Ovis aries: one gene and its partners. The protein of the gene in region 3 interacts with the protein of the main gene of each other region in a pairwise test. Links are inferred from orthologs where the notes say so. Each region holds a gene or a part of one and is shown on either strand. Other genes may lie near its edges. The genes, in order: PPP1R12C, MEOX2 and AIRIM.

Region 1 (3,644 bases), on a different chromosome or scaffold from region 3:
GCTTGGAGCTGCCAGCGTCCAGGCCCCTCCCTGCTTGTCCTCACCCCTGCTCTCACCCGACGTGGCTCCAACGTGAGGGGCCCACAGCCCAGCTCCATGGGCAGCTGCGTCGCCAGGCCTGACCGTCCTCCTTGCCACACGACTGGCTCAGGGCAGGCTGTGACCAGGGCGGCCCTAGGGCAGAGGGCTGGGGCTGGAGCTGCTGAGAAGTCTAGCTCTAGTTCCGCCAGGGGGTCAGCCTGCACTGCTGGGAGCCAGGCTAAGTGCCTCACCGAGAGAGCCGGCCTAGGAGGGAAGCCAACACAGAGCTCAGCAGAGAGATGGGAGGAAGGCTTCCGACCGTGTCTGCGCCCCTGGATCAGGCCATGCCTGAAGTCCACATAACTCCTAGACTTCAGTTACAGAGGCCCACGGATTGTCCTCCTCTTAAAACTGTGGTAAAGCACAGATTCTGCCCAGCACAGTCCACTGAGGCCTCACGTCAGGACAGGCACCGTGGAGCCACGTCACTGAAGCCTCCGGGTTTCAGAGGCAGCTGTGCCCCACCCGCAGCAGTGCAGCGGACGGTCTTCCCAGTAGCATCACAGGCCTTTGGGCCTGGTCGGTCCTGCAAGCCAACCCCCGGCGACCTTCGGCTCTCGTGAGAAGGTGATGAGAGCTCTGGGCAATTCCAGCAGGAATTGAGAGGCCTGAGAGATCACCCAGCCCCAGTGGCCTCCAAGCATCGCCCTGCAGGCTGCTTTTTAGCAACAAAGGGAAGAAGATGCCTTGACGGCAGAGTCACCTGGGCGTCCTCTGAATGAGGCTCAAGGTTAACATCACCAGTGAGAGGGCGGACGGAATTCGTCTCCCCGCAGAACTTGCTGGCAAGTTCCTGCCAAACCTGCAGAACTGACGAGCAGTCAGGTCCAGGCTGAGGGGCCGTGTGAACAGGGGAGGGGTGAAGGCTGGTCCTGTGCCGGCGGCGGGGCCGGGGGAGGGAACCTGGGCAGGCCCATCCCCGCAGAGAGGGAGGCGCACAAGCAATCACGCCAAGAAGCTGGAAACTCGGAGTCCACACTTCAGGATTCCACTCACGGAAAATGCCCAGGACAGGCAAACCCCCCACACGAAGCCCATGGGTGGCCCCCAGGGCTGAGGGGGAAGGGGAGGGTGGGGAGGTTTCTTTGGGGCTGATCAGAATCATCCAAACTCAACGTGCTCACGGACACATAAGGCTGTAAAACACGAGCCCACGCGTGTCTGAAGAGTGAAGGAAGCACGCACGCAGACGACTGCACCTACACGGAGCTGCCGAAAGCCCCGGTGAGCCTCAGCGGGGGCGGCCCTCCTCGGACGGCCAGTGAAACCTGGCTCAGCGTGCGAAGTCGTCCAGGTGAAAACGTGGAGACGCGGAGGCAGGAAAAGCCCGGTTCTGTCTCCACTTCACTTCGCTCCCTACATCTGAAGCAAGCCAGGGCTCTGGACCTCGGCTGGCCCACCAGCGGAGCCTCGAGGGACTCCTGCGGCCACCGGCACACCACCTGCCCAGGGCGGAGCCTCGTCCCTCCCAACCCCAGCCAAGCTGGGGATCGCCTCGGACAGCCAGCCGTTCTTCAGCAGCCTCCCTGCACCTCGCCCGCGGCCCTCCAGACCCCTCGGCCCCGCGCTCACACCTCCTCACAGATGCAGTGCGGTCACCAGACCCGCTCGGGGGAGCAGACGGCCACCCAGAAGCCACGCTGGTGACGGGGCGAGGCTGCTCCCTGTCTCCCACCCGCGGCCCACCCTGGTGACGGGGCGAGGCTGCTCCCTGTCTCCCACCCGCGGCCCCCGGCCCTCCACCGCAGGGCAGCCGGCGAGCCCTCCCCATGGTCTGTTCATCAGCGACTGAGAGGGAGCGCGGGAAGGTGGGGACCTGCCAGCAGTCACACAGGCTCCCCCTAGAAAACTGAGCGTGGCCAGGCACAGAGCTTAGGGGGTCCTGGGCCCCGTTAAGGACCCTGGGGCGCAGTGATCCCGAGTACTGCAGACCAGACCCCCAGAAGACTCGGCATTCCTCCACTGCCCCCCACCCCGCAGCACAACTCCTGAGAAGACCCACCATCACCCGGGACAAGCGCCAAACTCAGTTTCCTCAGTCACCCCGAGAACGAGCCAAGCCCTGCCTCAATGACTTCTCGGGTTAAACGGTCCAGGCCACACTGAGACCCTGGGGTCCGGGCCCTTGGCAACGAGCCCCGCACCCCGCCCCAGGCCCACCTCGGCGGGCGATCTCCGCCTTCAGCAGCGCCTCCATGGCGTCGGACTCAGCCAGGTCCAGAGGCAGGTCCCCGTCGCTGTTGACCGCAGCGATGTTAGCTCCATGGCTCAGGAGGTACCTGGGGAGGTAGGGGCGGGCCGCGGTCAGGACGGAGGCATCCGGGCCGCATGCCCAGCGGGCCGCCCACCCTCCCCACCTCACCTGGCAATGTCCAGGTAACCGCAGGAGGCGGCCACGTGGAGGGGCGTCCAGCCCTCGTTGTCCGCCTGGTTCACTGTGGCACCCTGCTCCACCAGGAAGCGCACCACCTCAAGGTTCTCGTCGATGCAGGCCTGGGGGGCATGGTCGGGGGTCACCCTCACCACCCCGGACCCCTCCGCGTGCCTTGCAAGGCAGGACCCCGCCAGGGCCTCGAGGGGGACCCAGGGCCGACCGAGCAAAGCTCCAGAGGAAGACCCCAAGGTCCCTGGAAGGCACCATGTCCGCAGGGCACCCCCAGCCCTGCGCAGCCTGGCTTCCCGGTGGCCACGCCAGGCAGGCCTCTGGGGCTCACTGGGGACCGTGAGAGGAGGAGCTGGCCAGAGAGGAGAGGAGCTGTAGGGATCCTGAACCATGCTTGTTCACGAGACGCACCCCAGTCACCATGGAGGATGGGCCCCCAGAGCTGAACCCAAGGGAAGAGACCCAGGCCCTCCTCCTCAGACCCAGCAGACTCTCCAGGAGAGCTGACCACCACCCTGCCGTGTCCCTGGTAGGGAGACAGCCGGACCCTGGGGCCCAAGGCCATGCGGGGTCCCCAGGCCCCTGCGAACCTGGGAGTGGGGCGGGGCGGTGGTGAGGGCCCTGGGCAGGACCCCGACACTGGGAGAGGCGGCTGAGAGAGGGTGTGCCCAGGCCTGGGCCCGAGGAGAGGCACAGGGCCCCCCATCATGGGCGTCCACGGGCACCTTCCCCACTGAGGGCTGTGAGGATCCCCTCTGATGGAGGAAGAGATCCCAGCCCCAGGAGACCAAAGCCCCTGCCCGCGCTAGCGCAGCAGGCTGGGCCAGAGAAAGGGTTTTGCCCAGGGCGCGTGCAAACACGCGGCGGGCACTGGGCCTGAGCAGGGCTGAGGAACGGGAGTGGACCTGGCCTCCTGGGTCCTCAGGGGAGATCAGTCTCCGACTCCCTCACCTCTCCACGGCCGGCCGCCTGGAGCAAGGGGAGGAAGCTACGAGGGCCAAGAGCATGAAGTCATGGAAACTCAGGCTGCGAAAGGGGGGCCACACATGCCCTGGGAACGGGATGAACTCTGGGCACCGTTTATTTCCACCAGTTGCCATGGTGATGGGGGGGGGGGGCAAGGAGGGAGACAGGCCTTTCCCTTTCAAGGACCTGGCCGGGCACAGGCATCCGTGCGAAA
Region 2 (3,744 bases), on a different chromosome or scaffold from region 3:
TAGGTGAGCGCCGATATTCTCCTGATGCGACAAGTCCTAGGCAAGGCTCAACTGTTCCCGCAGCTCATTATGCTCGGCCAGCGTGCGTGCCTTGTGTAAACGACTTGGCCCCTAGCAGACAGTGTCGCCCTTTAAGCATGTGGTAGTATGAAAGCCCAGCCGTCGCTCGCATTAATTCACTGGTGGCAAGTTTTCTAAGTCATTTTCTAGGATGCAAAATTGTAACCAGGGAGATCCGAACTTTAAGCGATACCAAAGTGTAATATTTGTTTGGTAAATGGAACCATGGCGGCGTGGGAGTGAAAGGGGTGCAATGAGCTGATTGATTTTTTTGAGCGGAAGAGAGATGGATTTCTGGAGGGAAACGAGGTGACAGGGGGCTGGCTCCTGAGGGAGAGTACTGGAAATGTACATTCAATATACACATCGCTTGTGACTAGGGTGAAATCGCTTTAGAATACTCCTGATCCAGGAAAAGTTTTTCTGGGCGGACAAGTGGCAAGGAAATGGAAGTGGGACCCGGAAATCGAGAGCGGTGTGGGGGAGGACATTTGAGGAAAGCAGGGGAAGAGACCCCACCTGGGACCGCAGGTGAGGATGCCAGAAGCAGAGCGTCTGCGACCGTCACGGCCCCATGCTTTCTTCCACCCTATCAAGTCTCGTTCCTTGCGGCCCTTTCTCGCCCGTGGGGAACTTTTCCTGCATCCTCGAATCTGGCGTCTCAGCGCTCTAACAACCCACCCACAGACACCAGCTGTATAAAAAAGCTAGAAACGCCACTGAGCCCATGACACGAGTTGATGCGAATTTGGAAAACCTTAATCTGAGTGCGCGCCAAACTAGCTCTGATTCTTTTCCTTATCCTCCACCTTTCGTGCTTCTCCACATTTAGGCACACCCTGTTTTTCTGCAGGTGACAGTGCCCAAGTGGCATTGACAAGACACCTTTCAGGAGAGAAGTGAGCAGGTGGGACACTGGCTGTGGGGTTGGAGCTGGCGGGCGCCACGGCGCGCCCCGGCCGGCGGAGCGGGAAGGGCAGCCGCTGCCCGCCGGGGCTCTGGTTTAGGCGCCCGGCTTGCCGCTTGCAGTCCAGGCTGTTGGCAGCGGCGGGAGGGCGTGGACGCGCTGCATGCGTCCAGCCGGCGATAGGAAGTGGAACTGGGAGCGCATTGCGCGAACTGAGCGGGAGTTTTGGAGGGAGTTTGCATGTGGTCAGCACTGGGCTCCTAAGCCAGCCCCCAGCTCACATTACACTCTATTTATAACCTCTCAGAGCCGTTTCCCCCTGAAAGCAGTTCTCTGGGACCACCTTCTTTTGGCTTCAACCTCTCCTGCTCTTGACATCTGAGTAGCTCAGAGGGAAGCTTCTCGAGGTCCGAGTGTTTATATGTAAAGGAGACTGGCCGCTAGGGCTCAGGACCAGGATTATCCGAGCTCTGACGAAACGCGGGCGGCTATTGCTTTGGGAGGGGGAAAAGTCACACGGTTTCCAGTGAAAAGTGACAGAGGGTGGTGGCGTTTGGAACCGTCGTGAAGTCTTCTGCCTGGAACCCGAGACTTGCATGCTATGGAACACCCGCTCTTTGGCTGCCTGCGCAGCCCTCACGCCACCGCGCAAGGCTTGCACCCGTTCTCCCAATCCTCTCTCGCCCTCCATGGAAGATCTGACCACATGTCCTACCCCGAGCTCTCCACTTCTTCCTCGTCTTGCATAATCGCGGGATACCCCAACGAGGAGGGCATGTTTGCCAGCCAGCATCACAGGGGGCACCACCACCACCACCACCATCACCACCACCACCACCAGCAGCAGCAGCACCAAGCTCTGCAAACCAACTGGCACCTCCCGCAGATGTCCTCCCCGCCGAGCGCGGCTCGGCACAGCCTCTGCCTCCAGCCGGACTCGGGAGGGCCCCCGGAGCTGGGGAGCAGCCCGCCGGTCCTGTGTTCCAACTCTTCCAGCTTGGGCTCCAGCACCCCGACCGGGGCCGCGTGCCCGCCAGGGGACTACGGCCGCCAGGCGCTGTCACCCGCGGAGGCGGAGAAGAGAAGTGGCAGCAAGAGGAAAAGCGATAGCTCAGGTAAGGGCGCGCCGGGCACCCTCGGCGAAAGGGGGCGGGGAGATGGGAAGATTCTCCTACTAGAGTGAGGCGGCGGGCGTTATGGGACAGGTCTTTTCCTCTCTGGCTCCTCGCCGCCAAATTCGGCGAGGCTGCTTTGGTCCTTTTATTTGGGGGCACGTGTTTCTCCGAGGGCAGCACTGCAGCCAAGTGCGTTAAGCTCTCCAAGATTCAAACTAGTTTACCAGAGGGTTGAGAAAAAAAGGACAAGTGACAAGTATGTGAAATCGATTGCGAAGCGTGACCTTCCATCTGAGCGATGGGGAGAGGAATGCACCCTGGGATGCAGCGTCCGCTGGGCGTGCGTGCGGGTGCCTTTCCTTGACTTTTCCCGACTCTGAATGGCTCGATTTTTCCCATCGTTAACTGGATTTCCAAATTATTGCACAACATTTGGAACTTGCAGTGGAACTTGGCAGAGCACATGAGAAAAAGTTTTAGTTTAGTTTTTTTTTTTTTAATTCTGATTTCAGAGTTCTTTAAATAGCACCCTATTCCAAATGGTAAAATTTCTCTTTCTTGGGGGAAGAAGATATTGTCTAGGAATTCAGAGGATTTTAAGGAATGTGTCAGAGAATGGCAACTAAATATACGCTCAGACCCTTGACGAAAGACGATTCTTTATTGTAGTTGTATTCATGTAATGCTAACCAAAAAGAAAATCTGAGTTTCAAAAGTGGAAAGTAAAATCCTCCTCCAGTTGAGTACTATCCGAAACAAGGATTGGGAAACTTAACAGCAACCAGGGTAGCGCTGCTACAAGTGGGTGTGCGTAGGAGGCGCTGATCTACGCGAGGATATCTTGAACCGCGTAGCGAAAGGGGAATCTTAACCAAACGCGAATGCTTGAAGGCACCCGCAGCCAACTAAACTTTAGCAATCCAGAGAAACTAAAGCTTTGCAGTCAACTGTCAAAGCCCTTACCTGTCTCTGTCCTAAAGAAATTGTTAAAAGATGCTTTATAAGGAGGGTATGAGCTTTCTTCAGTAGCTACGACGCAACCTGCGTCCCATCTTTTTGCAAGCTGTTGTTTATTTAATATAATATTTACGTATTTTCTTTCTTTGCGGCATTGGTTTTAAGAGCCCTGGAAGATAATTCCAGGTACTGATTTGAAAGACTGGATAATGTCTATCCTTTATAATAATTTAGATTAGATTTCACATGAATGACAGTGATTGAGCCGCATATTTCATGTTCTTTTTCAGCAGTGGTATCAATTATTCTTCAGTGAGTACGGAATGGGTTCTTCTATCTCAAACTTAGAATCTCACGTTTACATTCCAACGTCAGGGTGAACTTCTAATGCTCCATCACAAAATAGTTGATATCCAAAAAGGTTGCCAGCAGTATCATTCATTTTTAATGGTTTTTACTAACCCTAAGTGAGACACTCTTCAGACAGAGTGAAAAAGTTAATATAGCAAGAAGGCTTCCATCTTCATTAGAAAACAAGTCATTTTTAGAATGCAGTCATCCTTTTATAGGATCAGCATTTGATATCAATGTAACTTTTCTGGGATTAGATCTGAGTACAGGTTAGCCAGGGACGCTTTTGCAATTTACCAGAGGCTCTTACTATTCCTTGTACTTTCTGCAGTGAGAAACCTATATCATGGATTG
Region 3 (3,744 bases):
CTGTGCTCTGGTAACAATCTATTCATTCATTCACTTTTAAATGGTTAGATAAAACACCACCCCCCTCAAAAAAAGAGTATTTCATGACACATGGAATCTGAAATCTGTCAAATTCACATTTCAGTGTTTCCATAAATAGATTTCTGTTGGAAAACAGCTATGCCCATTCATTACAGCTGTTTTTGAACTATAACAGCATGAGTAGTTTGGACAGAGAACCTTCTGGCCTACAAAGCCTAAAATACTTATTATCTCCTCCTTTAGAGAAAATATTTGCCTGCCTGCAGAGGAAGATGAGGGAAAGTGCTAAGAAGAAAAGCAGGGAGGTGAGACGGATCGGGGAGGAGTAGGCCTGCAATTTCCTTCTAAGACCTCATTGAGAAGATAAAAGCTGCCATGGTAACCACAGAAGGGCTCCAGGCCGAGGCCTGGGGAAAGACCAGGAGCTCTTACCGAAGTATTCGAGCCAGTTCATTTCGCGCAGCGCCTTGGGGAGTCGCAGGATCTCAATGTTGTACAGGTTATCCAACTCTTTGAGGAGGTTCTGCCTGTCTGACTGAATTTGCTTGGATCGCATTTGCACTGCGAGAGGGCAGAGAGGACACGGCACGGGTCACCCCGCGGGGAAAAGGTTCCCGGAATCCCTGCTGCCCGCGTCCCAGTCCTCCAGCACCCCGCGATTGCCCCCAAGTGACCGCGACCACCCGGGCTCCGCCCCTCACCTTCACGGTCGAAGTCCTTAAGAAAGGAGGCGAGCTTTCGGTTCCGCAGCACATTGGTCTTAGCCACCCGACTGCCGCCCTTCCTAGACGGAGCCATGGCCCTTCGATGGAGGCTGCGGGGAGCTAGGGGCGGAGGCACAAGGCGTCAGCGGCGGAGATGGTGAAGGAGAGGGGGCCGCAAGGGGGCGAGGGAGGGTGGAGGGCCCCCCTGGGGGTTTGAATTGGGGACCCCTGCCCTTCCGGGCCCGAGGAATAAAGGATTCGCGAGGCACCCACCTGCAGGTTCTGAAACCCGGGCTGAGGAAAAACCCGGCTGCTTCAGCCGAGAAGGAGCCGCTCCGGGACGAAAGCGACGTGAGACCGCCGCCACCAAATTCAAACTGCCAAAGGCTGGCCAATAAAAAGCCGCCGTCTTAGGAGGGTTTCACAACAGCCAATCACAGAGAAGCTTCGCAATTGGGCAGCCAGTCCACACGTAAACTACAGCACCCAGAAGGCATTGCGGTCCGACCGCATCTTTTTCGCGACTCTGTAACCACGTCTGGGCATGCGCAGAGACACAGCGGAGGTGTGCGGAGTCTTGGAATTTCCTTAAAGTGTTATTGCTTTAGTTTTGTTTTCCCGCTGGTTTAGAAGAGCGGCCGGAAACCTCAAGTAGAGGAGATAAGATTCTGGCTCCGGAAGCACGGATCGGCCCAGTGAACCTTCAGTCTGAAACTGCCCTAAGCCAAGGGGTAGGTTGAGCCTCTCTGAAGGTAAGACTCGCGCTAGAAACACCTGTCGGGAGGGATGGACGGCCCTACATGAGCAAACTTTGTTTAGCTGGACCTCTCTGAGAACGGAAATAACTCCCACCCTTGACTCGGCCCTTTGCCTGTCGACTTGGGACCCTAATGATATTTGTTTTTTCCTGGGTTTTGTTTTTGTTTTCACCCCTACAATAGAAGATGACTGAAGATCAGCCTTTGCTTGCCGTGCAGGAGGCCCTGAGGAAGTGCTTTCCTGTGGTGGACGAGCAGCAGGGCCTGTGGCAGAGTGCTCTGAGAGACTGCCCGCCCCTCCTGGCCTCCCTCAGCAACCTGGCAGAGCAGCTGCAAGCCACACAGAACCTGCGATTTGAGGATGTGCCCTCACTTCGGGCCTTCCCAGACCTAAAGGAGCGGCTGAGGCGCAAGCAGCTGGCGGCTGGTGACACTATCCTGGACAAGCTAGGAGAGAGGCTGTAAGAGGCACAGTGGCGCTCTTTCTTGGCCTAGAGATGTTAAAACTGGGTATTTAATAATCTAGGATCAGTGAGAAAGGGGGTTTTTCTCCTTAAGAGAATGGTATTTGGGGATGTGACAGCCTTACCCCCTTTCCATCTGTTGCAGTGGGACCTCTCTCTGTCAAAAAACCATTTTCTGGCATTTCCCTTATCAGCTAGGCATGACAGTGGTGGACTTAGTAAAAGTTACCAAAGCAGAACAGAAAAGCAATGGAGAAAGCTCATTGACCCTCCACTGTAGTTTTCCTTAGGTAGAAAGCAGCAGGAGTTACACTGTAAACTTAGTAGGTGCCAGCAGCAAGGATTTTACATACATTATCTCATAAAATCTTTTCAACAACTGTGACTTAACCTCACTTAATCCCATTTTTCAAGTGAGGAAACTGAGGCTCACGCAAATTGCCTGTGCTCAGGCAGTTAGTAAATAGTAAAGCTGGGATGCTCATCCGAGTGCCTCTGGCACTGGGGCCAGAAGCTCCTAACCACCGCTTTGTTCTGCTGTACATTGGTGTCTGAGCGAGGAGAAGCACCAATGTTAGGCCTTCGATCTTAGAATTACAGGTAATTGGGGATAGAGAAGAGAGAAGGCACATATGGCCTTCCCTTAACCAGGATGAAAGAAGGTTCTAGTGTGTAGGGTTTGCCATAGACTGATAGGAAACTCAAAGATGGGGGCCTTCTTTGTATTTATCTGTACTAAAAACATTAAGAACCCATGGGATGCAAAACACAGGTGCTAGGAATACAATGGAGAAGGCAATGGCACCCGACTCCAGTACTGTTGCCTGGAAAATCCCATGGATGGAAGAGCCTGGTAGGCTGCGATCCATGGGGTCTCAAAGAGTCGGACATGACTGAGTGACTTCACTTTCACTTTTCACTTTCATGCATTGGAGAAGGAAATGGCAACCCACTCCAGTGTTCTTGCCTGGAGAATCCCAGGGACAGGGGAGCCTGGTGGGCTGCCGTCTATGGGGTCGCACAGAGTTGGATACGACTGAAGCGACTTAGCAGCAGCAGCAGCAGCAGCAGCAGCAGGAATACAATAGTAAGGCCGACTTAGTTCCTAAGTTGAGTAAAAGAGTCAGTTAAGTTAGGTCATTATACATTCTAAGGTAGCGAACTTTTATTTCAGTTGATTACATGTTTTTATGTGGGTATTGGGCTGTTATTTTTAGCCTAGTTTTTATTGTGAGTCACAGTCAAACTTGAAAGCTGCAGTTCTAGGCTAGGGAGTTCCTTGCCCTTTGGGAAGTTGTAGCCTTCGTCTTATGGCTAGACCTCTTGGAGTCACTAATGGAATAATAACTTTTAAAATAATTATATAATAATTTTTAAAATAATCATGTAAAAATAATAAAATTTGCCATAAGCTAGGTACTTCCCTAATGGCTTAATATGCATTATTGTATTTACTCTTCACAACAGTCCTTTTCATTCACTGGACAAATGTTTGTTGCTTTGTCGGCCAGTCTCAGTGTTTTAGGTACTTAGGATGCACAGTGAACAAAAGAGACTTGTTTTTGTTCGTGATTGAGAATAAGTAACTTTCCTGAGATCGACAATAATCTGTGTGCGTCAAGAGCTCAAATTTTACCCATTCAGGAATTCACGAGGGTGGGGCACGATATAGCATGAGCGCAAGACTGCTCTATTGCTGTAGTTTCCTCTTGCTAATTCCTTTCACATATGTGGCCTTAGACTATGTGTGAACATTTCCTCTCCTTTATGGGAGTCCCAGAAAGCCTGCTTGGTCTT

What was found.
Region 1: the proteins of AIRIM (region 3) and PPP1R12C interact in binary tests that used the Homo sapiens proteins (3 or more experiments, as listed by UniProt). The two-hybrid records come from large-scale screens. The link is inferred for Ovis aries from reciprocal best matches to the Homo sapiens genes AIRIM and PPP1R12C.
Region 2: the proteins of AIRIM (region 3) and MEOX2 interact in binary tests that used the Homo sapiens proteins (3 or more experiments, as listed by UniProt). The two-hybrid records come from large-scale screens. The link is inferred for Ovis aries from reciprocal best matches to the Homo sapiens genes AIRIM and MEOX2.

Annotation. Positions count from the first base shown.
Region 1 is NC_056067.1:63,073,678-63,077,321, reverse strand, and holds part of PPP1R12C (protein phosphatase 1 regulatory subunit 12C), read right to left. Parts: intron 2,575-3,644; coding exon 2,444-2,574; intron 2,361-2,443; coding exon 2,242-2,360; intron 1-2,241. UniProt on the Homo sapiens protein: Regulates myosin phosphatase activity.
Region 2 is NC_056057.1:25,059,356-25,063,099, reverse strand, and holds the start of MEOX2 (homeobox protein MOX-2), read left to right. Parts: upstream 1-1,288; 5' UTR 1,289-1,568; coding exon 1,569-2,082; intron 2,083-3,744. UniProt on the Homo sapiens protein: Mesodermal transcription factor that plays a key role in somitogenesis and somitogenesis and limb muscle differentiation. Required during limb development for normal appendicular muscle formation and for the normal regulation of myogenic genes.
Region 3 is NC_056054.1:12,499,747-12,503,490, reverse strand, and holds the start of AIRIM (AFG2-interacting ribosome maturation factor), read left to right. Parts: upstream 1-1,269; 5' UTR 1,270-1,456; exon of another isoform or gene 1,457-1,477; intron 1,478-1,666; 5' UTR 1,667-1,669; coding exon 1,670-1,944; intron 1,945-3,744. Other genes in the region: CDCA8 (borealin), read right to left, coding at 454-582, 723-819. UniProt on the Homo sapiens protein: Part of the 55LCC heterohexameric ATPase complex which is chromatin-associated and promotes replisome proteostasis to maintain replication fork progression and genome stability.